Linked DNA regions of Mus musculus: regions 2, 3, 4, 5, 6 and 7 are each reported to be linked to region 1. The links are microRNA targets in miRTarBase. Many come from high-throughput screens and were not tested one by one. Region 1 holds a microRNA gene; each other region holds the end of a gene's coding sequence. Distances are between the middles of the regions.
Evidence for each region. The annotated mature microRNA mmu-miR-709 reads GGAGGCAGAGGCAGGAGGA and lies in region 1 at 2,636-2,654, opposite strand. An mRNA with a match to its seed (bases 2 to 7 or 8) in the 3' UTR can be bound and repressed. Matches are read on the target gene's strand: a 7mer-m8 pairs with bases 2 to 8, a 7mer-A1 pairs with bases 2 to 7 and ends in A, and an 8mer does both.

Region 1 (4,000 bases):
GGCTACGCTGGGTACCCCTCACCAGCTCGGAACTCTGGAGCCTCACACCCACTCATGCTTCTGCCTCCCCAGTGCCGGGGTCACACAAGCACGTGCCACCCAACCAGGGTTTGGTACCATATTTATAGCTTCCTGTGAGCCTATAAGTCTTTCAAATAAAACTGAAAAAGGAAAAGCCCACAACACAGATCCTCAGGGACCTTAGCCACCTGGGTGCAACAGTAACCGAGGTGAGAGGCGTCTAGTCCAGGCACAAACAACGTGCACCTTCTCAGCAGACCTGCTCGCTGCACCAGAGGACCCACAGGGTTGAGAAATCAGAAGGTTTGCAGCAGTGGTTTATTAAATAGACTAAACTAGTGAAGACCAGCAGCCAGGGTGTGCTGCCATGTGGAGGGTGCAGTGTTCTGACCTGATCCATGGTCCTGACTGATAATGGGCCCAACTTGGGCTGACTTCAGCTCTGCCACTGTGATTGTAGGAGCTCCCATCTCTCATTTCCTATCAAGCCACCACCAGTTCTGACTAAGGGCATTTCTGCAACTGTCCTCAGAGCTTCACATAGCAGCTGAGGTACAGAGTGGCTGAGCAACACCTAAGGCAACACCACAGATGAGACCAGGCCCTAGGTCATATGAGCACTATCACTGAGCTATGCCTTGGGCCAAACTTCTGCTCTCTGAGTACTGCCAGGTTTTTTTCTCGAGTGTTCCCCCCACCCTCACCTCTGAATAAGGCGAACACTTACTGTGGCTGGTGAGGCACGGGTGGTGTGGGAGTAAGACTGGCTGGCATTGCCTAGCATGTAGCCGCCTTGGATCACGTAGGTGCCTGCTCCGCTGCCGCTGCTGCCGCCACTGCCACCACCACTGCTGCCGCCTCCCCCATTGCCCCCTGCACCCACACTGCTGTTGCTGGCCCCAGCCTCGCTGCTGGATGAGCTGGCGACAATTGGGCTGCCGGACACATACATGGGCACTGAGCCGCTGCTGGCCACCGTCTGGGAAGTAGCCGGCGTGCTGACCTGGGCAGCCGTGCCCGAAGCCTCATAGTAGCTGGTGCCTGCCGTCTGCGTGTAGATAGGCGTCTCCGGGTACTGGTAGGTGCTAGAGCGGCTGCCAAGAAGCAGACAGGAAGCAATGGTCACCACCTTGTACAAGGAGGCAGGGGTTCCAGGAGAGGACCAGAGAAGCCACAGAAACACCAGTGTGGCACCTTCACATATAAGGGACTGGGGACAGCCTGAGCACTGGATGGGCAACCACTTTCTTGTTTTCTAAAACATGTCTTTATATTAACTTATTACTTGGAGAGGGGCACATGTGTTCCGTGGCATACACACAAAGGTCAGAGACAACTTGTGGGAGGCGGGGCTCTCCTTCCACTGTGGGTCCTGGAGACTGAACTCAGACTGTAAAGCCCGGCAGCAAGCACTGCTGAGCCATTGAACCAGCCCTCGCTGGGCACTGAGCCACAGCACTCCAGCACAGGAATCACTCTCCTCACTGGTACTGAGCCACAGCACTCACTGGTACTGAACCACTGCACTCCAGCACAGGAATCAATTTCCTTACTGCAGAAGAGGAGAAAACAAGACAGGGTCCAGAATGCAGAACGTACTTCCTCGGCAACAACGACAAACAGTTCTCAGTCCAGGGAAGGGAGATACAGGAGGGAAGGCAAAGTACAAAGGACTGCAGGGTAGGCAGAGGGGCCGCCTTGGCTACCTCTTCCTGGCAGGGAGCTGCCCCTCCAACTCAGAATATGTCCTGAGTGCCGCATAGGGTAATAAGCCGCAGATCTAAGAGGGGCAACTGTAGCAAGCAAGCCACCCTAACATTTGGGCCCATCTCTGCAGGCTGCAGACTAGAGGGGGTGAGGCAGGAAGAGGAGACGCAACATGATTGCCTTGAGTCCTCCACTGGGTACCGATGGACAGCCAGAAACGAGAGGTTGGGATGAGGAAAAGACCACCCTGTGTGTAGGCAGAAGGCTCTCTGTGGGGAGGGGACAGGCAGGGCCACCTCTCACTTTTGCTCTTTGAGCCCTCCCAATGTGACAGTGATTAAAGCAGGAAAACTTGAGCCTTGCAGGTGGCTCAGTGGGTGGGGATGTTTGCCATCAAGACCGAAGACCTGGGGTTGATCCCCAAAGCCACACAGCAAACAGACTCCAGTGTTAGCATTGGCACTACGCTCAATACATGGTGCATACAACCCCCCCCCATCATCCCATGCACACACTCGAACACATGTGTATACACACACACACACACACACACACACACACACACACACACACACACACACACACACACACACACGAGGGCCAGCAAGGTGGCTCTGGGGTCAGAGACTCACCACATGAACCTCTTACCTAGTACTTGAGTTCTGACCTCAGGTCATGACCTTGCTTCTCAGGTCTGATAAGCAAGAAGCAAGCCATTTACTGATTTATCTCCCTAACCCCCAAGAAAAATTGTAAGACAGAATATGCAAGCCCGAGGAACTGGATTTGCCCCTGCAACCTGTGTAAAGGAGAGAGAAAACGGACTCCTCTAGGTTGTTCTCTGATCTCCACCTGCACCACAGCACATGCACTCTCCCCACACATAAGTCAATATAACAAAAGACAATCCTCCTGCCTCTGCCTCCCCAGTGCTGCTCAAACAGGACAGTTCTATGCTCAGAGCACTTCTGAGTAGAAGCAGAGAAACGGGACACACTAATTACTCTGTGGGACACTGAGGGTCAGATTGAGAACCTGTGGTTCCAGCACGAGAGAGGAAGTGTCAGGCAAATCTCTGAGTTCAAGGCTACCCTGGTCTACAGATCAAGTTCCAGGGCAGTGAGGGCTATACAGAGAGACATTGTCTCAAAAAAAGTTTATGTTGTAAAAATGTATGTATAAATACATATATGTATGCTTTTTCTTTCCCCTTTTCCTGCCTAAAATCCAGATCCATCTAACTGCACAGCTCCTAATTTGTGGAGGTGCCTTCCCAATGGGCCAGTGTCTCTTCTGCTACCAGCTGCCTATATTCCTGGCACCCCACAGGTGTGGGGCTATCACCTGAGCCTTGGGGGCCAGCTGGGAGTTAGAATTGTGGCCCTAACCACATCTGAGCCCTCCTTCCACCCTCTGCCCACTTACATGGCGCTGGCTGTGTAGCTGGCATCGCCACCTTCCACGTACTGCACCTGGCTGGAATACACGTGTGGGACAGGCACCTGAGGGAGTTGCTGTACCTGAAGCAGGAGGAAAAGCAGGGTCATGGGTCAGGGCTGACCACCACCCACGGGTTCACTGATGCCCACATACATCCCCATCTAGAAGGTTGCACATCATGGTTTTCTGAACAACATGGGCCAGAGGTGGGAGGCTTAGGTAGGAGGCTTAGGTGGGGCCAGGTCTCAGTTGTGGCTGGAAAACAGGAGGTGCTGGGATTCTCTGCTTTGGCAAAGAGGTTTCTAAGGCTTATGAGCAAAGGAGGGGATACCAGACAGAATTCTGCAATGGGCTTGAGAGGTGGGTTTGCAATCTAAAAACCGGGCCTGGGGGTTTTCTGGAAACCAAAAAGGTTTCCCAAGCAGATTAGGGGTGGAGCCTGAAGAGGGATCAGTTGATAGAACAACTAGAAACAACTGACAACACCTTAGGGGCAGGTACTGGATAGCCTACCTCCACCCCCAACCCTGGTTTGCAGGAGCCGTGTCTGGGACCCAGTCCCTGAGGCAGAACAAGAATGACTGGCAGCACTTTGGGGGACAGGGTAAAGACATCTCACCCCACCCGCCTTGGGTTGCAGGGGCGAAGCCTGGGAGCCTGGACTTGAAGGCGAGGCAAAGCGGCTTGCTGGGCTGAATGCCCTTCCCCTGCCCGCCCTCCGCCCCCTGCCGTGCCTCCGCTGTCCGCCGCCACCTACTTTGAGGGCGGTGCCGAACACTAGCACCTGGGGCATTCTGTGGATCCTGACCCTCAGGTCGGGGCTGGCTCGGGC
Region 2 (4,076 bases), not on the chromosome of region 1:
CAATGTGGAACACAATCTTCAGGACCTAGCAAGGTTGCTGCCATCTTCAACTTTTGGCAGTTGTCATCACTGATAAAACTCACACATGACTGGACCCACCAACAGTATGTCATGGGGTGGGGTGCGAGGGCTCACAGGACACACCTCTCCCAGATTATTACTTATAAGCAATTAGCAATTGCTAGGGGAAGGGCCCCACCCATCCTTGAAGATCAACAGGCAGTTAATAGGCTGCCAGAGGGATACTTTCTTCAGCCTTTAGCAGCTGATAAACTCTCCCTACTCTGTAATCAAGCCCTCACCCATGTAACCTGCAACAACATGCAAACCTGTAACAACCCTAAGTAAATCTGCTGGGACACACACACACACACACACACGGGCACAGATACAAATAAGACAAAAAATAAGAGGGGTCTTCGGGAATAGGAAGGTGATCAGTGAGAGTGGGAGGGGACAAGAGAAGGCAATGGAGGGGTGAAACTGACCCAAACATATTCAGGTATGAAAATGTCATAATGAAGCCCATCATACATAACTACACTAATAAAAATGTAAATCTTGGGGTCCCCATCTAGATCAGCCAAGTGAGAAGCTTGGCAAATTTCCAGGTTTTATGGGTACTTCTTATGGCCACTAGCTTGTGAATTAGCATATCAGAGCACCATTCTCCAAAGATGTCAGAAGCAAAGTGCAGCTTTGTCAGAAAGTCAGTTCTACGATGGGCGGTGGTAACACATGGCTTTAATCCCATCAGACTAAGGCAGTCAAACTGCTGAGTTCCAGGCCAGACTGGTCTACAGATTAGTGCCAGAGCTATGCATAGAGAAACCATGTTGAAAAACAAACAAATGAACAAACAAATCTAACAACAATGACAACAAAACAAAAGAAAAAAGTAAGTTAGTTTCTATATGGGTGAACACAGCTAAACTGCCTTCCCTAAACAGCAAAAGCAATAATGCACAAATAAATGTACTATAACTTGGGGAATCTTTTACAACAAATGGTCTTTGGTGTAATGTATGAGAAAAGCTGTTAGCAACTCTGTAATTATACCAATACATATGTCCCTTGATGAAAAGGACAAAGGAACGTGTGGCTTTGACCATAAATACCATACCATTTTGGATGATTCGAGCCCCTACCATCAACAATGGGCCCCAGGTTGTTACCTTTCCCCATTTTAGCGAAGACTGCAAGAGGATGTCGATCAGCTCACGGCCGTCTGACTACAGATGGGAATGTGCGCAGCCACAGATGGGTGCAGAGAACAGTAGCAGGCAGAAAACACATGGCACATTTTTCATGTTTTTTTTTTTTATTTAACATATATAGTACATGTAAACAAGGGGCATAAAATTCATAAAAATACAACACTCCTGTGCAGGATCGCTTTAGCTCAGACACATCCTTTTGTCTTCTCATCCATGCTGCTGGCCTACCAGAACAGCACACACTCTGACAGGCATTTTAGAGGTTTAGCTTTTAATGGACATATTACCCAGCTTATTTTTTGTTTAATGTCACAATAATAACTATTCAACTGCCTTCTGTCTTTCTTTCCTTTTCTCACACTAAAGCAAAAATATTTGTAAATGCTAAAAATATGCAAAATACTGAGCTTTAATACTGCATTGTCAGCTACATAAAATCTAATACTGCTCCATGTTGCCATAAAAGTGTTTCCGCCACACTGCTACTAGATGTGCTGGACTGAGAATGCAGTGGGCCCCAAGGCCGCATTTCCAAGCTGACTTGACTAAATACAAGCAAAGCTTGCTGCTGGAGTTACATTACGACATACTGTTTGTTACAAAAGGTTTCTGCAAAAAAACCTAATTTAGACTACTTTTAATGTTTCCCAGCATGTGAACTGGCTCTAACAGTATTTTAATGTTTTGTTTCTCTGTACAGAATTTCCAATCATTACATGTGAACTTATTATGAAGGGAATTGTTAGAGGGTAAGGACAGAAAATAACTTTTAAAGGGTGATAAAAAAAAAAAACCCTAACTGCTGTATCCACACAGCAGCCATATTGGGCTGCAGAAGAGCTGCGGAGCAGGCAGGGCATGTGTCCCTCACTCCCATGCCTGCCCCTTTCTTTACATTGCCCTGCATTGCCACACTATCACTCAAACACCCCTAAACCATGACCTCCAGTTGCTCCCCTATTTTCGGAGTTCGTAAAAGCTTGGGAACTAAAACTAAGCATCAGATGAGGAAGCCTGGCCACAGTCTGCAACAGTGGGAATGGCAGTCCCCGGGCAGCTTCAGGGAGGGAGGCCCTGGCTGGTGAGGCTGGCTCCTTACTGAGGCCACACTCCTCAGTTGCAAGTGCTGTCTTTGCAGGTGACCAATGTCCCCCAGACAAGCTTGTCCTTCGGCTCTGGGAAGAAGGCAGAAAGAACAGCTCTTCCTTCCGTGGCTGTCAGGACTGGAGTGGGCACCGGAAGCCATCCCTGAGGGTTCAGGTCTCAAGGACAATCCACACTGAGGTTAATCTGCCTGTGGTTAATAAAGAGAAGACTGTATAAAAAATGGGTAGTCAGCCATGGTCACAGTTTACTTAGAATTTAAAACCTCAAAACCATTACTTGCAACAATGAAGATTATAGTTTTGAAGTATCTCATTTCACACAAATTAACTTTCAAGAAACAAAATTTGTATAAGAAATTCAAAGCAAGTTTAGGAATTTTTCAAAAAAAAAAAACAAGAAAAAAATGGGAAAGACTGAGAGCATACTCACTCTACACACTGAATTTTTTTTTTTTTGAGGCAAAATTATAAGGCTTAAGGCTTTGTCTTATTAAAGATAGGCAATTTTGAAAGCAAAATAAAAGACTCTATTCATCTCATTTACATTAACAGAGGTTACTTAGGTTTTATTTTATTCTAATAGTGAAGGTAAAATTAGCAAAGACTACAGTCCACCACAAGCTATGTCTCTCTCTCTCTCTCTCTCCCCCCTCTCTCCATATGTACATATATATCAAGCTATAGATGCATCATATTTGAGTTTGTCCAAAATAGTTTTTCCTAACAGCGTAATTAATCATAAAATTTTTTAAATGAATTAAAGGTATTAAAATATAATATTTGATTAATACTAAAAATGAGAAAAATACACAATTACTAATTTTTTAACCAAGAATAAGCACTTGCTAATCAACCTAAAGACAAGACAGTATTTATGTGGAAAAGAAACCAGCCTGCGTGGGGAGAAACACACAGCACATAGCTGGAAACTTAAGGAACTGGTCCTCGCCACCATACCCAGGAGTCTGGGTAACAACAGGCAGGAAACACTTGATTCACGAGAGCAACAAACAACAAAAGGAGCACCCGGAAGCGAGGTGAACAGGTGACCCACAGGCCAACCACGCCTGGACTGAGAGCTGAGACAGTGTTCAAAGATAAGATCAGGAGGTAAATAGGAAGCAAGGTGCTAACAGGCCCCTATCAGTCCAGAAGTGACTGTAGTTTCATATCATCTGTCATGACCCATGATGTATTTCTAAACAGATGGCTTTGTTCACCATAACACAAATATTTAAACCAAGTACACACATATACTCATTTGCATAGCAAATTTTAACAGGTGCAGTGAAACAGTAACTAATCGATCTGATGTAAGCCATTTTACAGTCAGACTGACAAACTGACCAAATCAAATGTTTGCCATTCGAAACAGTTACTTTCAAAGACTTTCTAAAGGTTTGCGCTCTGAGTTAGTGGCAAAGCAGTAAAGCCATTACTGGTGCGTCTCTGGCAGATGCACGTGCAGTCACTGTCTGAGAACTTCTAGGACTTTGTAAACACTGTTCTGGAACACTGTGGTAAAGTGAGGCTTGGAATCCTTCACCAAGATGTTGCACAGGGGAGTTTTCCCAGCGTTGTCTGGATCCTCTACATCCCAGATTTCAGGCATGCTGCATCCAGGCCTAGGGAAGTAGCACAGTTTAAGGTCAATGCACATTATCCAAGTGGAGATAGCACAGCAGTGTCTATACTTCTTGTCTCATCACCCTTTTCCTACTTCCATTAATCAGCATAGCTCTTAAGTCACACA
Region 3 (4,076 bases), not on the chromosome of region 1:
ATTTGGAATATCTAGAATGTAAAAAAAAAAAACAAAAAACTGGTGTTAGAATGTAGAGTAAACCTTTGTTAGAAAATCAATTATCATATTAAAAACAGCTTTGGTCCCTATGAATTATGAACTAAAGACACCACTTTGAAAGGCTAATCCAATCTGGCGTGTGGGAAACCCAGGTTTCCAGAGACCACAGTGGTGTGTCCCCCCCTACTGGCAAAGGGTATTCCTCAAAACTGAGGAGTGGGCTTCCCACGCCAGGACCATGGCCATGGGGCTGGGCGGTGTGCGTACAGCACAGGGGGGTTATTTTCAGTTTATTTCACAGTAGAAACCCAGCTCTCTGGTGTGACTAGTAGTAAGTCAGTGGGAAGAAGACCCAGACATTCAATTGCTTCTATAAAAACTATGTCATGAATTTGAAATGTTTCTGACTCAAAATTACTTTAGAAAAGAAAAATGGAGAGGAAGATCACTCATTTTGATGTTGCCTCACCCATAGAATGGACCTTGCAGGTGCTGGTGAGAGTAGATGTAAATGACTTGGCTCAAGTATCCCCAGAGCACAGGGTGGAGGTCAGTGACAGGGGAGGCTGTCCCTGGCCTTTGGGAGGAGAGGCCAGAGACACCCCTGCTGCTGCCTGCTGGTGAATTCTACCTGGGAACTGCAGTCCCCCACATAGCAGAAACCTTCCTCCATGGCCTCAGGGCCTGGGACATTGCTTTCCAAAGCAGATTTTCTAAAAGTCCCATCAGCATGGACATGCGGACACAGAAACAGCCAAAATTGGGGTAGTGGACAGATGAGGAGGAAGGGTGGGTGAGGCAGGACCAAGGCATGCATGGGGAAGGGACTGGACACTGACACACGAGGCAGGGGAGCAGCAAGCATTCTGGAAGAGTCCATGTGACCCAAGCTCATCATTGCAAGAACACTGGTAAATGAGATTGTGTGACACTGAGGGTCCCACCCCCATGCCCAAGATAGGGACCATAGCAAGTCCCCAGGCCAGCAGGATATTTGTAAGCAAATGGTTAGTTAGTAAACGGGCATAAAAGTAGAGGGGTTTGCCTGACGGTGGTGGTGCACGCCTTTAATCCCAGCACTTGGGAGGCAGAGGCAGGCGGATTTTTGAGTTTGAGGCTAGCTTGGTCTACAGAGTGAGTTCCAGGACAGCCGGGACTACACAGAGAAACCCTTTGTGTGTGTGTGGGGTGGGGGGATAAATAAATAAAAAAAAAGTAGAGGGGTTTGTGAAAGCTGATGACAACTTGCCAAATTGTAACAAAAAGTAGACCCCTAGAAACATTGTGGCCTCAGACAAAGAGAGGAGGAGCAACTCCCATGATCCAGAGGACCTGATTGCTCACAAAAAGGGTTCAGCCCTCTGCTTACCGGGCTCCACACAAGGCAAACCTGTGTCATCGATGGCTGGGGTCATGCTAGTGGCTTTGGGAGGGTCATAGAATGAGAACACTGAGAATCCTGACAGGATCATGGGTGCCTAATATGTACATATATAAATTAAAACTCTATTTATTGAACATATACAAATAAATAACTTATTTTGAAACAAATGCTCTCTCAACTAGCTTTCTGACCAAATCTAAGAACATTAATGGGAGCCCAGGATGTTGGAGCCCTGTGTTGGGAGCCTTACCTTCCCCGGGACCTACTTTATATGGCGCTGAGGAACTTACAGTTCCTCCACAGTTGAATGGATGACAAGGCTGGGTTTTTCAGCACAAATTAGGAACACCAGGAGCCTAGAACCTGCTGTGTCTTCATCAGGATAAACTCATCTGAGGCTTATTTGCTGGACATGATACTTCACTGTGTCCCTCTATGCTGGCCAGGGTTGGCTGTTAAACTGGACATTTTCTCCTTGTTTTGGTAACAATCAAAGCCTGGAACAGCTTTCCTGGCAAAGCAGGCTGCTATCAGAGTGGCCAAAAGCACTGCTCTGAGACCCAAAGCAGCAGAAGTCTACGGCACATTAACGTCTCTTCCCTTTCAGAGCATGGAATGGTCACAGCTCCCTGTGATGACCCAAGGGGCTCCATGAACAGGCTGGCGTGTGTGGAGGCTGCATCCCTCATCCTGGTCCTACACAGTTTCCTGGCAGAAACTAGCCCACACAGATGCTGGTATGAGGAATCCTAACTGCCCTTTGGAGGAAGGCACTAGAGCAAAGCACCATTAGACAGCTGGCAAGTGTCTTACACTGGGCTAGTCTGGGACAGACTTTCAGCTAAGCAGCTTCCATGTACACTGTGATGTCCCTATACCCTGGTGGCCACCTTGCTGCTCTTTGGTGACTCCAAGGTAGCTGCTTCAGGGCTCAAGCACAGAGCATCAATCATGGCCATGAAGGCTGCCCAGAGAAGACCCTAAAGGCACCACTACGGAGAGCCTGGGAGACTCCTTATGTGTGTGCTAAGGACATTCTGGGCTGTGATGGGAAGGCGTGCCCTTGGTACAGCATCACCAGGTTCTCACCCATGTATAACTGGTCCTGTACAAGTCTGCAGAGATGCCTAACTTCCAGGTCACTGCCTGCATCTACCCATGGTGGAAAGGTTTGGACTGTTACAGGGAAGTCCAAAACGCCAGTTTGACACTCAACCCCCTAGGGTAGAGGCTAGCCCCATGAGCTGTAGACAGCACATCCTAAGCAGCTGAACTGTCCTACCAAGTGCACAGGGGTGAGCGCAGGAGAGTGGGAGGGCCCGCACAATCCGAACCTCAGCATGGGAGTGCATCCATGATGCACAGCTTCAACTGTAACTGGAGGAAGGTGCTCTGGAAGGATCGTCTCTGTTCAAAGATGGCCCAGGTTAAACTATAGGTTCTAGACCCCACTCTGTTAAATCCACAGGCAGATGGTGGCCAATGTGCTTCCTGGGCTGAGGAGTTCCTGCCCGGCAACCCAGGAAGCTGGGGTCTCAGGCCAGGAGAAAGGGGCACATGCTACCCAACGACTGAAAGCTCTGTGCTGACTCTCAAAGTACATCATAAACTGGGAGGAAACAGGGTCTCTGAAAAGTCCCTAATGTCCAAGCATAGCACATGAAGAAAAAAAAAGAAAAAAAAAAAAAAAGGAGGAGGGGAGAGGCATTTTCTTTAAAAGCAAACATGAAAAAACACTGGTAAAAAGAATGACAACTTCTCTATCCTGGTGACAAAAGATTTTTGTCCAAAACCAAAACTGAATCTTCACAGCCCTATTTCTCATGGCTTCACCTCCATTGACAGGGGACAGGCGGGAGGGGGCGGGGTGTGCAGAGACACAGGAGCTCATGCTGCTGCAGAGTAGGACCCTCTGGCAAACAGGGTGAGGTACGCAGCTCTGACCGCACACGGGGAAGGCTCAGGCCACCCTGTCTCACAGGGGTGCACGGTCCATGGGCTGGAGCTGAGCTGAGATCCCCAGAACCGCCCCATCTGCTAGAGGGCACCTCAAAACAGCTTGTCAACCCCTTTCATTTCTGCTTCTTAACAAGTAAATTTGGACACCAAAGTTTTAAAGTAAACTTTCCTAAAGGGCACCGTCATACAGTAGAAAGCGTGCACGCAAGCCAGCCAAGGGTCAGCGTCAGACTCGTCCAAACTTCTGTGGTCATGTTCAGGCCACTCTGGGAGGCACACGTGTCACACGCGAGGCTGGTGGCAGTACACAGTCTCTGGGCGTGGCTGGGCTCCCTCTATGTCCCATTCTTCAGCTCCCACTCCTGGAGAAGAGAGATGTGTGAACGCAGACAGTTTGATCCTGGCTACCACGAGTTGCTATGGCCCATGAGCCTTTGAGAGCTACACAATGTCCGGGCTCAGCCACAGAGAACAGAATGTAGTAGCCAGCCAGAGAGAAACCCAATCCAAATACCCAACAGGAGTAAGTAGGTTAAGTGTGGCCCCTCCAGACATGGGACACTTAGCAGGCAGAACCGGGAAGGGAGAGCTGACTGCTGGGATATCATGTGAGTAAGGACTACATATCCTCTGAGTCTATTAACATGGAAGCCCGAGGCAGTCAAGTTCACAGAAACAAACAGAATCATAGTATGCATCTGGGACAAGGGAA
Region 4 (4,076 bases), not on the chromosome of region 1:
TTGGGTGTGGAATCGCCTTTTAAAAAATTAATGTTTATTTTCTGTGTGTGTACACACATGGGAATAGGGGCTGGGTGTGGCACGTGCAGGCACATGCAGATAGAAGGATACCTTTTGGGAGTAGAGCCCCTCCCACCATGGGGTCTCGAGGGTTAAGCTCCAGTTGTCAGTAGGGTTGGCAGTCTCCTAACTCTGAAAAGATTGGAATACTAAATGCATGTGTTGGATAAGGGTCTGTGGGATTGTGCCCTTCTGGGAGCTGAAGTGTTTGCTGCCTTTTATCTTTCCACCGCCTTTGAAGCCCAGATGTCTATTAAACCGTATGTTCATGAACACTGTATTCTTCTCAGTGCTAGCTTCACACAGTGCTCCGGGAAGGAGGGCTCTTCCCCAGAGAGCCTCAGGAATCCACCACACCTATAAGTTCTTGGAGTCACACATGTAAAACTTTGGCTCTAACGGAGGGATCTCTCTTCCTCTGGTAAGAGGTTGAGAGTATTACTCTGAGCTGGTTCCGATGCCTGCCTCATTTGTGCAACACACAAGAGCGAATCCCAGCCATGTGGTGGCACTGGGGGTCTGGGTCAGTAAAGTGTACTGATTGTGGCTCTGTCCTTTCTTCTCTCCTTAGGTGAGGAGGACCCCCCTACCCTCCCTTCCAAGCTCCTTGCCTCTGGGGTGTCCAGAGAACATGGTTGCCACAGCCACACTGACGAACTGCAAGCGCTTGCTCCTTTGTAAGGACTCGGAAGAGTCTAAGCATCGCCACTTTAGCTGCTGATCTCTCTGGCTCCCCAGTTCACCTCTGTGGTTGTGCAGCCTACTTGGAGCTGAAGGCGCACACGGGGATATCTGGAATGAAATTCTGGCTAGCACTCGATCTGTTCTGCTCCAGCCTTCTAAGGGATACTTAGCAAAGTCTCCAGTTTCCCAAAAGCATATGGAACCCTGAAAGGCATGTCCATTAGATCTGACTGCAGCTGTCCATCTCAGACTGATCCTTGGATCTGAGCCTGCTCTGAGAGGGGTAGAGTGGAAACAGGTAACGAGAAATAGGAAAGCTCCCACACAGCCTGCTCTGGCTTCACTTGAACTCTGGCTACTTAAACTCAAAATGCTTTGTGGAAAAGCCCTCTCGGCATCCTTACAGCTTACTTACCCATGTCAAGTACTGCTGGGACCCAGGCTGCGCTGCAGGTCATGTTTCTGTCCATTTTGATGTGGAACTTACACTGTCCTGAGTGTTAAGTAAACCTTGAGTCCAAGGTCCAGACAATGATTGAACATTCATCCAGTCACGTTTTGTAAAACAGCTCTCTCTCTCTTACTGGGAAACATGACCAACCAGGACAGAATCCTGTGGGGCTGGACCATCTTGTTTGTCCTACGTGAAACTGGCTGATTAATGTGCAGACGTTGTCAGGACCTGGGCGTTTTCCCTGCATCGAGGTAGCCATCTCATGGGAGCCTTAGCCATCTGTTTAGTTTCTCCCTGGGCTACATTTACTGCTCTGTAGCTCGGGTGGTGACGGCTGGACGTGGAGGACTGCTATCCATTACTCAGCTGGGCAGCAACATTATTAGAATCGTGGTTTGTATTTTGGCTGGTGCCGTGTCTTGAATTTTAGAGGTCAGAATCCACTAATACTCGTCAGTGTACGGGAGACGGTGGCCAGTTAATCTGCTGGTTTTGACAAGTGACAAACCTCCTTTTCAGAAGGCAGAAAGGAGGGGATTGTTACAAAAGTAAATGTTCTATTTTTATGAATGAATCTTGTACAGAAATTCTGTTTCCAAAGGTAAACCATCTCTTCCTATCCTGTACCTTAATTAGATGTATATAACGATGAGTCTGTCTCCCCCTTAGAAACCTTTATCCCTTGCTCTGGCTCACTTGGTTTGAGCATCCTTCTCCACTGTTAGCATGGGTGCTGTTGGATTTTGGCAGCCTATCTTCTCAGCATTCTGTTACGAACCATTGATTTTTCTTACTACTCCACCAGATTGGACCAGCATTAAGGGGGTTGCTGAGAAAGATCCCAAGGTCAGGTGTGGAGGTGAGATGAGCCGGGGATTTCCCTTCTAGGCACCTTTGCAGTGGGGTGGGGGGTGGGGGAAGGGAGCCCTTAGTTCCTGCTGAGAAGAAGCGGTTTGTGTGCATTTTGGATGGAAACACCCTTCTCCCTGCTCTGCACAGGCAGCTGGCAGCTTCTCAGGAGAGCGTGCTCCACATGTTCTCTAGCAGAGAACAGAGCAGCTGCTCTGGGCAAGCTGTGAGCTGGTCTCGCAGTAAAACCAGGCATCTCTGCAGAGGAGTTCACGCCATATTATCACTGTGGAATCCAGACTGAGCAGACAGAGCTCCCACCTCCATGAGGCTCTCCTGGCCGTGCTCAGTCTTGGCATTCATTCTGTGAGGGAGATTGGTGGGCCTAAATTGCTAATGTATGACCGTTCCCTGGGAACATCATCAGAGAATGTTTTTCTCTTTTTAAATTGAGGCCAAGAAATATTTTATCCCCCCCCCCAAAGAGCCATTAGAAACCACATTTCGGATAGATACTGAGCTTTGCATGTGGAGTGTGGGGTCCCTGAGAGTGCCCAGGAGCAGCATGGGGCCCTGGGTGGAGGAGGGCTTAGCTTCACTGGATCCCAGGCCCAGGCTCGATGCATGAACTCAGATGAGGAAACTGGAGGGCAGCCCTGTGAGCCATCTAGCTTGCTAGTCCAAAAAGTCAGAGTCAGGTGAAGTTTTGTTTGTGTTTAGCCATTGGGTGACTTTATTTTGACATACAAGTGTTTTTGATCAGAAGAGAGAGCCAGATTCTAACGTGCCAGGTGATGGTTTCTTAGCCCTGAAGGAGCAGATAGTGGGCGGAGCCATAGTATTAGCCAGCCTCTTTCCCATACACCTCATCGTTGAGCCAGGAATGAGAATGGCCTTGCAGATTAAGGCAAGGTGCCAGTTCTGACAAGGCACAAGCTTTTTGATGCTAACGGGAGATGGGGTTGGGGCTGAGAGTGAATGGTTTGTGGGGAAATAGACCAGGTCCTTTGCGGGGGAGGGGGGCAAAGGTGAGACGGGTGTGAGGGGGGCTAGGGTACCAGGAAACCAAGAAAGAAAGTTGTTGACCTGTGTTTATGCGTGCCCTACAGGTGCTTCTCATGCATCTGGCCCAGAGGTGAGTCAGAAATGTAGCTCACCTGCCCTTGAAGCGCAGACCTACCCAGCCATTGTGGCTCATGTTGCTAATTTTCTTGACAACCTTTAGTGGTAGGTCCTCTGACTTTATATAAGTAACTAAATAGGAAGCTGTTCCCCCAAAAGTGTGGGGTTGCAGGAGCTTTTCAGAGGAAGAGGGAAGCTGTGTTATTCCTGGAGCCAAAATGACACACCCTCACTCCAGACAGAAAGGGAAATAGGAAGTCCCTAGCTACCCCGACACAAGAGAACACTCCGCTGGTACTGGGGAAAGGTAGGCAATGCCAACGTGGAGATTTCTAGTCTTTTTAAAAATCTTCCATCACTGGGCATGGCTGCTGGTAATTGGCAAAGTTTGTGTTTTCTGGGGCACCTGTATACCCCGGCATAAGGAAAACAGTAACATAGCACCTTGAAGAGAGACATCAGGGCGTGGCACCGACTGGGGCAAACCAAGGCACCCTTGTCCAGCCTTCAGCAGTGTTTCCTGGGCTTCTTGGTTTTCAAGAAAAGCTGAGGATGTCTCATTTTGAAGCTGTCAATGCCTAGCGCTGGCAAGACAGCTCAGAAAGTACAAGCATTTCTGAAACAAACCCAGACAACGTACCCACAGTGGAAGGCGTGAAGCAACCCTGTCCCAAAGTTGTCTTCTTTGGCTTCCTCATGCTGGCTGTGATGCTCACAGATACCGGGGTGTGTGTGTGTGTGTGTGTACGTGGGTGTGCACGAGTGCAACACCAAAACCACATGCAACAACAACAACAAACAACAACAAAAGCTAAATATTAGCAATTAAGCTTTGGAAACTACTTAAATGAACCCAGGACCAATAGAACATGTAGATAGATCTAATTTTGCCCAGTGGCTGCCAGGT
Region 5 (4,076 bases), not on the chromosome of region 1:
TTCCTCTCTTCCTGTGTGAAATAGGGTGTTGAAAAAGATAATCACTAAAGGTCTTTTGACCTGAGAAGTCAGCTGTGCCTTTTAGTTTGGTCATGGCTAATGTTTGGGAAGTTGAAAACTAAACCAAATGTTGACAAAGTTCCTTACTTTGCATCTGTTAGAAAGAAGGAAGGAAAAAGAGATGTTCTAGAAGAAGCCAAAGTTCCATACTTCGCTGACCTTCCCTTAAGCTTCCATAGTAGTGAAGTCTAGAATAGCAGTAAGCTCAGTTGTGTGAGGCTGCATGTGGTCAAAGACAGGTGGTGTCCATTAAGACATTTGTCTGTCTTCCAGGGCATCTTCATCAAGGATTCCAACTCCCTGGCTTACTACAACATGGCCAGTGGTGCTGTCATCCACTTGGCCCTCAAGGAGAGAGGCGGCAGGAAGAAGTAGCAAGAGATACTGCAATTGAAACCTTGCCATTGTACCTCTTTGCACCACCAATTCCAGGAGTGTCCCTGGGGCCTCAGGCACAGCCTGGGCATTTGTTTCCCTCAAAGCCAGTCTACGGAATGAATATCTTGTTTCAATTCTGGATTGGAGGTCCTTCAAGGAAGTCCATTAGAAGTTGAATACCCAGGGTTGTCCCACAGGACAGTTTCACACTATCGAGTGATGCTTAGTTAATAGAATATGGTTAATGCCATTCATCATTTTGTATCATGCTTTGGTTTCTTGAAGCCAGGCATAGTACATGCATGCCTGTGATCCTGGGACTTGGGATGTGTGGGCAGAAGAATTAAATGTTCAATGTTCACCTCGGCTGTATAGCTTGAGGCCAGACTGGGCTGTGTGAGATACTGTGTTTTGGTTTTTTGTTGTTGTTGTTGTTTTTGGTGGGTTTTTTTTTTGTTTTTAATTAAAAACCGAACACTTCTTGGACCTTCATGGAAGCAGTTTGTCCCTGCCATCCACAGACTGGCTTAGAAAGCTCTGCCATTCTTACCTATGCAGGGATAGCTAGTGCACAACAACTCTCCTAAGGACAAGGGTGAAATTCCAAGTCAATTAATAGGGAAACAAATGGATCGCTGAGCTTTGGGGTCTCTGCAGTCTTGATGCTTATAATATGTTTTTGCTGCCATCGTGCCTTTCAAGTACTTCTAAAGCATCGTGGCTGGGGAGATGCCTTGGTGAGTACAGTGCTTACGGTGCAAGAACTGATGTAAGAGCCACTAGAACAAGCCACTGCTACCCTGTGCACTAGGAGACAAGACAGGCAGAGTCATCCTAGCAGGCCAGTGAATGAGAAAGACCTGGAAGGCAAGGGTGAACACCTATGGCTGTCTTCTGGTCTCCATGTGTTTGCCGCAGCATGGCTTTATAGAGATACGCACGTTCTATATTTGTACGTTTTATATTTGTAAAGCTTCAGGACCCTCCACCATGCAGTAGCCATAGAACAAGGATCAGTAGCTTTTTCCATACCTCAAATCGCCCATCACTTGATAGGCATAGCAGTTTTAGTGGTTTGCTCTAGGGTGGGCAAAGGCCGTTCATTACTATGTGTGTGGTTAATTATGCCAAATCCACATACTGACCTAAGGGCCTTGTATCTAGTTTACTACTACTGTGTTGTATTTGGTATTTTTGTTTTTCTTTGGTTTTGTTATAGCTCCACTGGAACTTGCTATATAGGTTAGGCTGGTTTTGAACACATTGAGGTCAGCCTGCTTCTGCCTCCCAAGTGCTGGAATTAAAGGCATGGACCGGCAAGCTTGACACTGCTTCCTGTTGAAGCACTTGTGTAGCACCTGTGGAGTCCTTGTGTGATTATTCTTGTTCGAGGTACTTAGGGCAAGTCACATGCCCTCCATCCCATGGCTCAGAGATGAAGAGTAAATCCAAAACATGTGCCTCGCTCTTGGTCACTAACTGCTGTCCTGATGTGGGTTATTATTTTTGGAGTTGTGGTCTTGTGGAGGCATGGGTGGTGTTGCTGTGTGTATTCAGAGGGAGGGGAGAGTGGAGAGTGTGTTGATAAGCTGTAAACAAAGCTGGTTTCTTTTTGGAGGACTGCATGTGCTGAAAGCTTCAGAGTTCCCAGTCCAGAAGCAGTATTCTAACTCCCAGCCCCTCCACCTTTTCCTTTCTCAGCCGAGGCCTCTACAGCACCAGTCACTTGGCTCCATTACACATTGTTAGGCGCACATTTAAGATCATTGATGTCATGCTAGTCTGTACCCCTGTGTGACTTGGCCTAGGAACTAGTGCAAAATTTGGTTTGTTGGTGTGCTTTTCTGGTTTAGGAGCCTGAAACAAGCACACTGTGCTAGAGACTAGTTGGGTAGCACCAGAAATCCCCTGGAGGGATTTCCAGGAGGAGGAGGGGGTACTGTTGTATGGGAGGAGCATCAGGAAGTCTCAGAGAATCCATGCCTAAGAGCTCCTTTTTGGTATTAAGGACATGGCATTATGTCAGGGCATATGCCTCTATAGATTGGCAAACCCCACAGTGCCTCTATGGCTGAGGCTGTGACATGAGACCAAGAATGTGACTGGGTAGAATGCAAGTGAATGGGCCCTTTGATCCAGGCTCGGGAGCTAACAGTTCCCAGAATTCCTGAATGAGTGCCTGTCCTGACTCACATTCACTTGGAGGCTCATTGACCACAGAGCCTTGTGACCTTTGGTGGCCACAGACCAAGATTGTTTTCTAGCACTGCATGTCCTACAGTCTTGTAAGTTTAAAAAGTGCTTATCCAAATGTAAGTTTTAACATTTTTATAAAAATAAGTTGTTCTATTAAAAAATAAGTATCATTTTTATATGTATTATGTATAAATTACTTTGGTCATACGCCCTCCATTATCCTCATCTTTTCCTAGCAAACACTTCTTTCCAACAAGTTTCCTCATGTTTGTGTCTGTGTGGTGTGTGTGTCCCACTGCATCTAATTAGGGTTGTTTATTTGATCAAGGCTAACTAATGGCTATACCACTAAAGAATATACCTTCCTCTTCCCAGCATCTGTTACCTACCTGTAGGTCTTCAAGGAGGGTAGTACCTTAGGGTTACCCCACTATCATCTCCCGTCCATGATGTTAAGTCCAGTTTCCTGCAGGCAGGCCTGGTGCTATGAATCCATAGGTACAACAGCCATATCATGATGAGCTCCGTTGACTACAAACAGTGCTGATAGATTGTTGCTTTCAGAGGACCTTAGTTCCCAGCATCCATGTCAGGTGGGTCACAACACATAATATACACATACATAGGGGAAAGAAAAAAAAAAACTTTAGAAGTGTTCTGGAGTTTAAAGAAATTAGCATTGAGAAGTAGAGAGATACTTCAGTTGTGAGAATGCTTACCAAATAAGCATGTGAACTTGAATTAGGGGGCCTACACCATACAAAATGGAGTCACATCACACCGTATGTTACCTCAGCACTGGGGGACAGAGACACAAAGATCCCGGGAGCTGAATTGCTGAGTTCATTGAAAGACTAGTTCAGAGAATAAGGTGGAGTGTAATTGAGGGAGACCTTGCCATTTCGTGGCTTTTCACACACCCATATGCACCTGTGTACACACATGTACCCTGACACACACCAAATGTGCCTTTCTTGTTTCGAGGCTTAAGAAGCAAATAACTGACATCTCTATTCTTTCAATGACTTTGCACAAGGACACATACTAATTTAGGACAGCCGTGAAAGTGTGCCATGGTTGAAACTGTTAACTCCACTGCTATCCCTGTAGGCTATGGTGGGGAACAAGACAAACATGAACTTGGAAGTTGTGAACACTTATTACCTGTGCCCACTGTTTACTGGGAATTACCAAGTATCAAGTGCTTAAGAACATGTCACACTAAAATCTCAAAATAAAGTTTGTTTTTTTTTTTCCTAGTATTTCATTTTACTGATGAGGAAATAGTCTAAAAGAAGCTGGGCATGCTAGTTCCAGCTCTTTGAATGTGATTAAGCAGGGCAATTGTTTGAGCCCAGGAGTTGGAAGGCAGCCCAAGTAACAGGCCCTGGTTCAGGAAGAAAAAAAAAAAAAGGGCCTTAGGCCTCAGAATGGTCTCTTCT
Region 6 (4,076 bases), 14 Mb from region 1:
AAGTCAGGCAGAGGCACGTCCTCCATGTAGGAGGAAACTGTCTGTGTAGCCCTGTACTCTAAGGGTCCAGGCATCCATGGAGAATCTTGGGATTCATCCCCACAGATGATGGGGCACTGAAAACTGCAGAATGGGGACCTGTACCCAATAGGTGAGGGGAAACTACTACATAGATAGCCTGGGCCACCGTGTAAGTCTCACTGCTGCAAAGTGTGTGTTGTGTTAGGCTAGGATGTGGGTCCCATTCCCAGCATCAAAACTAAGAAAGGGTGGCCAGGAAGCGGGGCCTTAGTTTCTTCAAGTGTGGCACTCATGTGCCCTCTGCCCTGCAGAGTACAGTGGCCGCCCGCAGCCCTACCCCTTTGAGCGCATGGTCTTCGGGGCCTGTGCTGGCCTTATCGGGCAATCGGCCTCCTACCCTCTGGACGTGGTGCGGCGGCGCATGCAGACAGCAGGTGTCACGGGCCACCAGCACGGCTCCATCCTGAGCACACTACGCTCCATTGTACGTGAGGAGGGCGCGGTGCGGGGCCTCTACAAGGGCCTGAGCATGAACTGGCTGAAGGGCCCAATTGCCGTGGGGATCAGCTTCACCACTTTCGACCTCATGCAGATCCTGCTGCGCCGGCTGCAGAGCTAGGCTAACACAACAGTGGATGGTGAGCTGTTCGAGCAGGGGCATGCAGCTGTGTGCTCGCAGCCCTGTGGTACCTTGAGGGTGGGCAGGAGGACGGGACCTGACTTGGGGCTGTAGGGCCCATAGCGAAGTGCTGGTCCTCAGGGTGTGACATTGTGATGATGGATCTTGGCTGTCCCCTCCCTTCAGTTCCTTGCTATTGGCTGGTGAGTCTCCTGAGGTGTTACCCAAAGGCCCCTAATGGGTCAATTGCACTTCCTGGCCCTGTGTCCTCTGACCTGCTGCTGATCTAGTGCCCATTGGCACCCGGGGCTCAGAGCCCATCCCTTCTTGCTATGACCGTGCCTGGCCTGCAGATGTGATAGCAATTCCTTTTAAGCCACACACTGGAGGGTCACAGTTTGCTCAGTGGTGGCTATACCTGTGTTCCTCAATCCTCCACCATGCCTGCCTATCCTCTCCCAGGTGACAAATGGCTGCTCTTGCCCACATAGCTTTCTCCCCAGAGCACTGTGCCCATCCTATTTCCGAGGGCTGCACCTGACCATTGCCAACTACCTGGCTTGTACCTTTCCAGGAGGCCCTATGGCCACCAGACAGGGGTGTCAAGTTCAGACCCCACTGGAAATGCCCATGTGGGTATCACTGATCTGGGGTGTCTTCCAAAGTACACCAATCAGGCCGAATGCAGGCCCAAAGCTTCTTATATGCACAGCATCCATGGAGGTAGGGCTCAAGCTCTTGAAACTGCCTTCTGTGGCTGTCATCTAGCCAGGCCACATGAAGCCCAAAGATGGGTGGGTGGCTTTTCCTGTGTGAATGAGTACAGATGTATCCATGACCTGGGGAGCAGGGAAAGGCTGGGGTATCCAGGGACCACCAGCCAGCTGACACAAGGAGAACCCCCCCACACACTGGGTTCCCTAGGTGTCACAGGAAACTCTTGCCTTTCCTGGTGTCTGGGGTTCTTGATTTAGGGTCTTTGAGACAGTCCTAGCCAGAAGCCCTGGCTGTCCTGCTTCTGAGTGTTATCTGGGCTAGCCTTCAACTTAGAGCAGCCCTCCTGCCTTTACTCTCTTTTCTTTTCTTTTTTTTTCTTTCTCTCCCTTCCTTCCTCTCTCTCTCTCTCTCTCTCTCTCTCTCTCTCTCTCTCTCTCTCTCTCTCTCTCTCTCTCTCTCTGTCTCTCTCTCTCTCTCTGTCTCTGTCTCTCTCTCTGTCTCTGTCTCTCTCTCTCTGTCTCTCTCTCTCTCTCTCATTTTATTTTCCCGAGACAGGGTTTCTGTATAGCCCTGGCTGTCCTGGAACTCACTCTGTAGACCAGGCTGGCCTCAAACTCAGAAATCTACCTGCCTCTGCCTCCCAAGTGCTGGGATTAAAGGCGTGCGCCACCACTGCCCCACCTACCTTTAGTTTCTAGTTTTCAACTTATCCTGCCCCAGGTCTGCACATAAAACCCCTACCCTTCCTATGCAATGTGGCTCTGGCTCAGAGGTGATCTGGGTGTTGATTCCCACAGCTGGATGGCAGCCATCTCACATGCAGGACCTGAGCAGGGTGGCTCGAGCCCTGGGCATTTGCAATTCTTGCTGCAGTCTTTGTTCATTCTATATTTCTTACCTTGTGCCTGTGACGCTTGGCCATCTCTCAGCCTCCGCGGATAGTGATGGGCCATCCCCACCATGTCCCCAGACACCCCCCCCCCCCGGCAGCCTCTGGTGGCTGAGAGGGACTGTCCTCTCGTGAGTGTACTGCCACTCCCTTCCCCACCTGGGATGGAGAGTCTAGGCATCCCTTACCAGGAGGCCGGAGGTGACTGAGGCTCCTGGGTCACCTCAGCAGGTTGCACCATGTAGATGGTTGGCTTGAGCCCTGCATCAGGCAACCAGCAGGGCAGGAGAAGTGAGGGTGTCCTGGGTCCCTGATCTTCTTGCTTCCCCATATCCCCCCAGTAGCTCTGTGGCTGCCCTCCCCCATGGTCACTGTCCAGTAGCTCTGTGGCTGCCCTCCTCCGTGGTCACTGTCCAGTCTGGAGTTCTATTTTGATGCCATAAAGACACTTTGTTTATATATAATGTTTATATATTTTGAAGATTTGTGCCAACAGAGTATATTTAATAAAATTTTAAATATCTCCTGCTTCTTACTTCTTCAACTCTGGCTCCACCTCCCACTCTATGAACGGGGTCAAGCTACTTAGCACTTTTGTTTTTAATTTTTCTAGATAAGGTTTCTCGGTGTAGCCCTGGCTGTCCTGGAACTTGCTCTGTAGACCAGGCTAGCCTCTCTGCTCTGCCTCCCGGGTGCTGGGGTTAGAGGTGTACAGCACCACTGCATGGCCACTATTTGCTACTTTAAAAAGGCATTTTGTGTATGGGTGCTTTGCATAACTGTGCAGGCCTAGTGCCGGAGGAGGCCAGCAGATCCTTAGTCTAGACTTACAGATGATCACATGGGGTGCTCGCACAACTGGATCATCAGCAGGAGCAGCCGGTGCTCTTCACTCTGAGCCATCTCTCCAGCCCCCCCCCCCATCCTTGTGAAAGAGAGCTGAGGATTGCAGGTGTGTTGTCCAAGTGCTCTGTGCAACTTTCTGTTCATAGATGTAAATGTGACACAGGCTACTGGGGATGAAATTGATGGCCAAAGATGGAACATTAGACTGGGGCAGTAGAGTCCCAGCCTAGAATCCCCCAGTGAGGGGCTGGGGGCGTGGCTCAAGGGTGGAGCACTTACTATACAAAAGACCCTGGGGTTTTTTTGCCAGTACAAAAAAGATAAGGATCCAGGAATACAGTAACCATGTAGCTAAATCTGCCAACAACATGGCTCGGATTTATTTAATATCTGAGAAATATAATCCATGCTGGCTTCTAGTTCTTGCATAGCACTGGCTGGCCCAACTACCTCTGGAGTCATCAGCTATACTCCATCATGCTCAGCAAATGGGCATCGGCCAGAAGCCTAAGGACCTTGCTCTGAAACACAGCTCAGGCCCAGTCAGCCCTGAGCCATGTAGCTGAAGGAGGTGGGGCCCTGTACGTCGTGTGCCCCTACACTCTGAAATCCACAGCAGAGCATGGGCATCCCTGATTCCCATGAGACTTCCACAAGGTCCTGCAGCCCTTGTCAGGGTCAGTTTGGGAGGCAGGGACTCCAGATAGCCCTTCAAGGACATCCTGTTGATTCATAACACACACGTCAGCCATATTTGCTGCAGTCATGAAGACCTGAGTTCAAGTCCCCAGAGCCCACATAAAGTGGGACAGCAGCACTAGTCTATAATCCTAGCACTCCTACAAGCAAGGTGGGAAGCAGAAACCAGAGACTCCCTGGAGCCTGTTGGACAGCTGACCTGAGGGACTCAGGTAAACAAGAGACCCTGTCTCATAGTAGAAGGCTAGGATCTACATGCTAAGTTGTCCTCTGATCCCTGCTCTC
Region 7 (4,076 bases), not on the chromosome of region 1:
CAGTGGATTCCACGGAGCCTCGGGCTATGCTCCAGCCGGCTCGCTGGCCTCCTTGCCTAGAGGCTCGGGAGTGGGCCCCGGCGGCGTGATCCGCGTCCCCGCGCACCGCCCGCTGCCCGTGCCGCCACCCTCGGGTGCGGCCCCCGCCGTGCCCGGACCCTCTGGTTTGGGTGGCGCCGGGGGCCTAGCGGGACTCACCTTCCCCTGGATGGACAGCGGCCGCCGCTTTGCAAAGGACAGGCTCACGGGTGAGATTGCCCTACCCCTCGGTGTCCTTCCCCCGCGACCCCATTTCTTTGCTTCTCCATTTTCTGCTCCAACCCCATTGCCCGGTTATCTCTCCCCTCTGTTCATCCGCGTGGACCCTCCCCGACCCCACAGTTCTCGGTCCCACAGCAGAGAGGCAGTAAGGAGAGAGCTGCTGTCGTCGGGTGCATGCACCCCTGCCTCTGCAGTCCCACCGTGCCTACGGCGAGGAGGGGCAGGGTGAAGTTTGGGAGGACCCCGATTCTTCCTAAGCCCTTTCTTGATGAGGCTTCTGTGGTTGGGGGAGGAACCCCGATAAGGACTAGGGACTCTCTTCTCAGTCTCACCTCGGACTACCCCCAAACATTGCCCTGCTCTTCCGTCCCGTAGCTGCGCTCTCGCCCTTCTCTGGGACACGTCGCATAGGCCATCCCTACCAAAACCGGACCCCCCCGAAGCGCAAGAAGCCGCGCACCTCCTTTTCCCGCTCGCAGGTGCTGGAGCTGGAGCGCCGCTTCTTGCGCCAGAAGTACCTGGCCTCCGCAGAGAGGGCGGCGCTGGCCAAGGCCCTGCGCATGACGGACGCGCAGGTCAAGACCTGGTTCCAGAACCGACGCACCAAGTGGCGGTGAGGCGCGGGGCGCGGGCGGGCCGAGTGGCGGGGTAGGACCGGGACGCCCGCTGACCCCGGCTCTCCGCTCGCCCAGGCGCCAGACCGCGGAGGAGCGCGAGGCCGAGCGGCACCGCGCTGGTCGCCTGCTGCTGCACCTGCAGCAAGACGCGCTGCCCCGGCCGCTGCGGCCACCGCTGCCACCGGACCCGCTTTGCCTGCACAACTCGTCGCTCTTCGCGCTGCAGAATCTGCAGCCCTGGGCGGAAGACAACAAGGTGGCTTCGGTGTCCGGGCTCGCCTCGGTGGTGTGACCGACACCTGCCCGACGAGCGCCAACGTGGCCGGGTGCCGTACCGCCAGCGAAGAGTGAGGAGCAGAAGGCCCGCGGCCCGCGGCCGTCCTCTGAGGCTCTTTGGTCATCAGTGGCCCCTGGCCCACACTCTGACTCCGCCCTTCAAGGTTTTGTTTTGTTTTGTTTAAAAAAAAAAACCCCGCTGAGATGTGGGTTGCAAGAGCAACCTGCAGGATTGTGGATGAAGCAGGGACCCTGCAAGGCTGCGACTTTGCCCTGAGTGGGCTCAGAGCTCAGGTCCTGCTGGGAAGGGACCACAGAGCTGGTGTAAAGGCAGATATCAAAGGACAGCGGGGGAGGGGTAATGGAAGAGGCGCTGGCAGTAGAGAATGTGGCCTACTGTGACAGGGACCTCGTCCCTCATCTGTAAAACAATAACTAAGGATTCCTTCTAGCCTCAGTCTCCAGTTGTCTCCTGCCCAATCTGCGGACTCTCCATCTTGAGTTTTAACGCACTTATGCTATAGGTAAGATAGATTCTTATATACCCAGAAGATACACTCTAGAAAGAGAACCTGACTCCCGTGCCATGCAGGGTCAGAGAGCCAAGATGGGGAGCCGGTGGAGAATTCATGGGCCCAGTGTTAGAGTGAGCAAGAGACATGCTTTGGGACTAGCAAACCTAAGAAGAACCAAAGATGACCTTAAGACTGGAGATGTGTAGGCCAGGAAGGGGAAACTGGGGGCAAGATTAACAGTAGGCAAAACTAATGTTAGATTTAGAGAGAGAGAAAAAAATGCTAATGCCTGCCTTTGGGGGAATCTCCATGACATCACAGGGGGTGGAGACAGATGAAATTTTGGGTCTAAGATCTCCTGGTAAAGGCGGGAAGGCACAGGGAACTCTGGGGAGTTACATGGATTGAGCCTTTCTTTCCACAGTATTCTACAAACACATTTATGATGTGCAGGATGGTGGTGGATTCAGAAATTCGAGTAGACTAAGGGCAGAAGGGAAAGAGTTAGGGAGAAGTGAAGGATGGCGGCTTTAAGTTGGAATGTTCTTAGGAGATGGCACTTGCAGTAATCCTGACAATCTGAGTTTGAGCCCTAGGGGCAAGTTTGTGGAAGAAAACTGATTTCTACAAACTATCCTCTGACCACTGCACATGTGTTGTGGGTGTACACACACACACACAAACTATAATGAAAAATTAGAGAGACTGCAGACTGTAGGTGAGTCAGAGGGCGCAGGCTTTTGGTTAAGTGGAGGATGGTTACAAAGCTCTCTGGCTTAACAGGGAGATTTCGCCTCACTCCACTGTCCCCCTCTTGTTCCTGGCAGAGGCTAGAACACTGTGACGGGACACAGACCTGTGGTAGCCAGGTCACGGATGCTCTGTGCTAGGGACAGATATAGCAGCACAGAGGCTTGGGCGGAGGCAGGCAGGAGGCTGCACCTGCAGAAGTCGGCCTTTCCTTTTGTGTCACCTCTGACTCATGGATGTTGTATATGGCACTACAGAACTAAAAATCAAACTTGGCATCATAGAAAAATCATTTTTTAAAAAAAAGATTTATTTAGATGGGCATGGTGGCACATGCCTTTAATCCCAGCACTTGGGAGGCAGAGGCAGGTGAATTTCTGAGTTCGAGGCTAACCTGGTCTACAGAGTGAGTTCCAGGACAGCCAGGGCTACACAGAGAAACCCTGTCTCGTAAAACCAAAAAAAAAAAAAAAAAAAAAAAAGATTTATTTATTTAATGTATATGAGCACACTGTAGCTGACACACCAGAAGAGGGTACTGGATCCAATTACAGATGGTCATGAGCCACCATGTGGTTGCTGGGAATTGAACTCATGACCTCTGGAAGAGCAGTCAGTGAGTGCTCTTAACCCCTGAGCCATCTCTCCACCCCCCACCAAAGTCTTTTATAGTCTCACCAAGGAGACAAGGTTGTGTGAGGCGCCGCATGGGTGGGGTGAGTGGCATCTGCTCCCATGTCCATGGACAGAGAAGAAAAGTATGCTTGTTCTGAACTGTGGCGCTCTCTTCCCCCACTCCTAACAGTTCTTGGCTCTTGGGTTCCAGGAGTATATCTGACCCTACACTTTGGGTCTCTAAGTCTGACTGCCTTGGCGCTCTCTGATGAGGTTTGGCTCCATTCCTTAGGCAGTTAGCTCACTGCAGAACACAGCCATCTCCATACTCCTGGGGAGAGGAAGTTTCAGTCGCTGCTGCTGGTGGCTCTGCTGTTCCTTCTCTCAGCTGGTTCAAGAGGTCTCTGCTCTCACTGGGGGGCAAGTTACTCAGGAAGTATGGAGGGGCGAGCTCCACCAGCCTGACAGAGAAAGTCAGGATGGGATCATCTGTGCCTTCCCCTGCCCCTCACTCCCCGCCCTGCTTCCACCAACCCTCTTCCTACATCTCACTCCCCAGTTTGGTTCCTGGCCCTGGGAGAAGAAGGGCCCTGTATGAGTGAGGGAAACTCACATCTCAGGCTGGATCTCAGAGACAATGCAAAGGCAGTTGTCTTTCGAGATGGAGAAGCTGTGGTACAGCACCCACGTGGGTGGCTGGGCTGGAGTCCTGCGGTTTCGGTAGCTGCAGTATGGAGACAGCTGGGCTACGTGTTTATGGGTGAGAAGCAGATAATTTCCTGTCCCATCTGTGTCTCGGGCCACCTCATTGAAACACAAAAACATGGGTGGAATAAGTAAAATAAGCAATGGAGCACAGAAAATAAAGAAGGCCAAGGTTGGGCGTGGCAGGAATCCCAGCATCTGGGAGCCAGAGGAGCAGAAGTTAGAGGCCAGCCTGAGGTATTTAGAGAGTCTGAAGCCAGCTTGGACAACATGAGACCTTGTCTCATTGTTTGCTGCCTTTAAAAAGAAAGAAGGAAAGAGAAGGGGCTGCGAAAGG

Region 2: miRTarBase lists Dpy19l1 as a target of mmu-miR-709. The part of its 3' UTR that is shown has no 7-base or 8-base seed match.
Region 3: the mRNA of Afap1 is a reported target of mmu-miR-709. Seed matches in the 3' UTR shown: 7mer-m8 at 1,112-1,118, 7mer-m8 at 1,106-1,112, 7mer-m8 at 865-871 and 8mer at 816-823.
Region 4: miRTarBase lists Il17rd as a target of mmu-miR-709. The part of its 3' UTR that is shown has no 7-base or 8-base seed match.
Region 5: the mRNA of Sf3a1 is a reported target of mmu-miR-709. Seed matches in the 3' UTR shown: 7mer-m8 at 1,719-1,725.
Region 6: the mRNA of Slc25a42 is a reported target of mmu-miR-709. Seed matches in the 3' UTR shown: 7mer-m8 at 1,985-1,991 and 7mer-m8 at 1,991-1,997.
Region 7: miRTarBase lists Dqx1 as a target of mmu-miR-709. Seed matches in the 3' UTR shown: 7mer-m8 at 2,782-2,788 and 7mer-m8 at 2,776-2,782.

The regions. Positions count from the first base shown.
Region 1 is chr8:84,084,821-84,088,820 of GRCm38, reverse strand. Mir709 (microRNA 709) reads right to left here and starts at 2,722; the gene lies at 2,635-2,722. It overlaps Rfx1 (regulatory factor X, 1 (influences HLA class II expression)), which reads right to left. Exons shown (of 21, transcript NM_009055.4): 8 at 3,154-3,248; 9 at 749-1,115.
Region 2 is chr9:24,410,476-24,414,551 of GRCm38, forward strand. It overlaps Dpy19l1 (dpy-19-like 1 (C. elegans)), which reads right to left. Exons shown (of 23, transcript NM_001359948.1): 22 at 3,763-3,948; 23 at 1,303-2,511. The coding sequence ends at 3,792. Among named protein-coding and RNA genes, the nearest start is that of Dpy19l1, 91 kb to the right of the region's middle.
Region 3 is chr5:35,999,349-36,003,424 of GRCm38, reverse strand. Afap1 (actin filament associated protein 1) reads right to left here. Exons shown (of 17, transcript NM_027373.2): 17 at 1-3,726. The coding sequence ends at 3,700. Among named protein-coding and RNA genes, the nearest start is that of Gm52811, 84 kb to the left of the region's middle.
Region 4 is chr14:27,100,646-27,104,721 of GRCm38, forward strand. It overlaps Il17rd (interleukin 17 receptor D), which reads left to right. Exons shown (of 13, transcript NM_134437.3): 13 at 632-4,076. The coding sequence ends at 741. Among named protein-coding and RNA genes, the nearest start is that of Il17rd, 64 kb to the left of the region's middle.
Region 5 is chr11:4,179,701-4,183,776 of GRCm38, forward strand. Sf3a1 (splicing factor 3a, subunit 1) reads left to right here. Exons shown (of 16, transcript NM_026175.5): 16 at 334-2,841. The coding sequence ends at 435. Among named protein-coding and RNA genes, the nearest start is that of Tbc1d10a, 5.1 kb to the right of the region's middle.
Region 6 is chr8:70,183,033-70,187,108 of GRCm38, reverse strand. Slc25a42 (solute carrier family 25, member 42) reads left to right here. Exons shown (of 8, transcript NM_001007570.2): 8 at 333-2,769. The coding sequence ends at 640. Tmem161a (transmembrane protein 161A) reads right to left here. Exons shown (of 12, transcript NM_145597.4): 12 at 3,428-4,076. Among named protein-coding and RNA genes, the nearest start is that of Tmem161a, 13 kb to the right of the region's middle.
Region 7 is chr6:83,065,852-83,069,927 of GRCm38, reverse strand. Dqx1 (DEAQ RNA-dependent ATPase) reads right to left here. Exons shown (of 12, transcript NM_033606.3): 11 at 3,648-3,838; 12 at 2,709-3,495. The coding sequence ends at 3,336. It overlaps Tlx2 (T cell leukemia, homeobox 2), which reads left to right. Exons shown (of 3, transcript NM_009392.2): 1 at 1-248; 2 at 637-874; 3 at 954-1,603. The coding sequence ends at 1,170. Among named protein-coding and RNA genes, the nearest start is that of Tlx2, 2.3 kb to the left of the region's middle.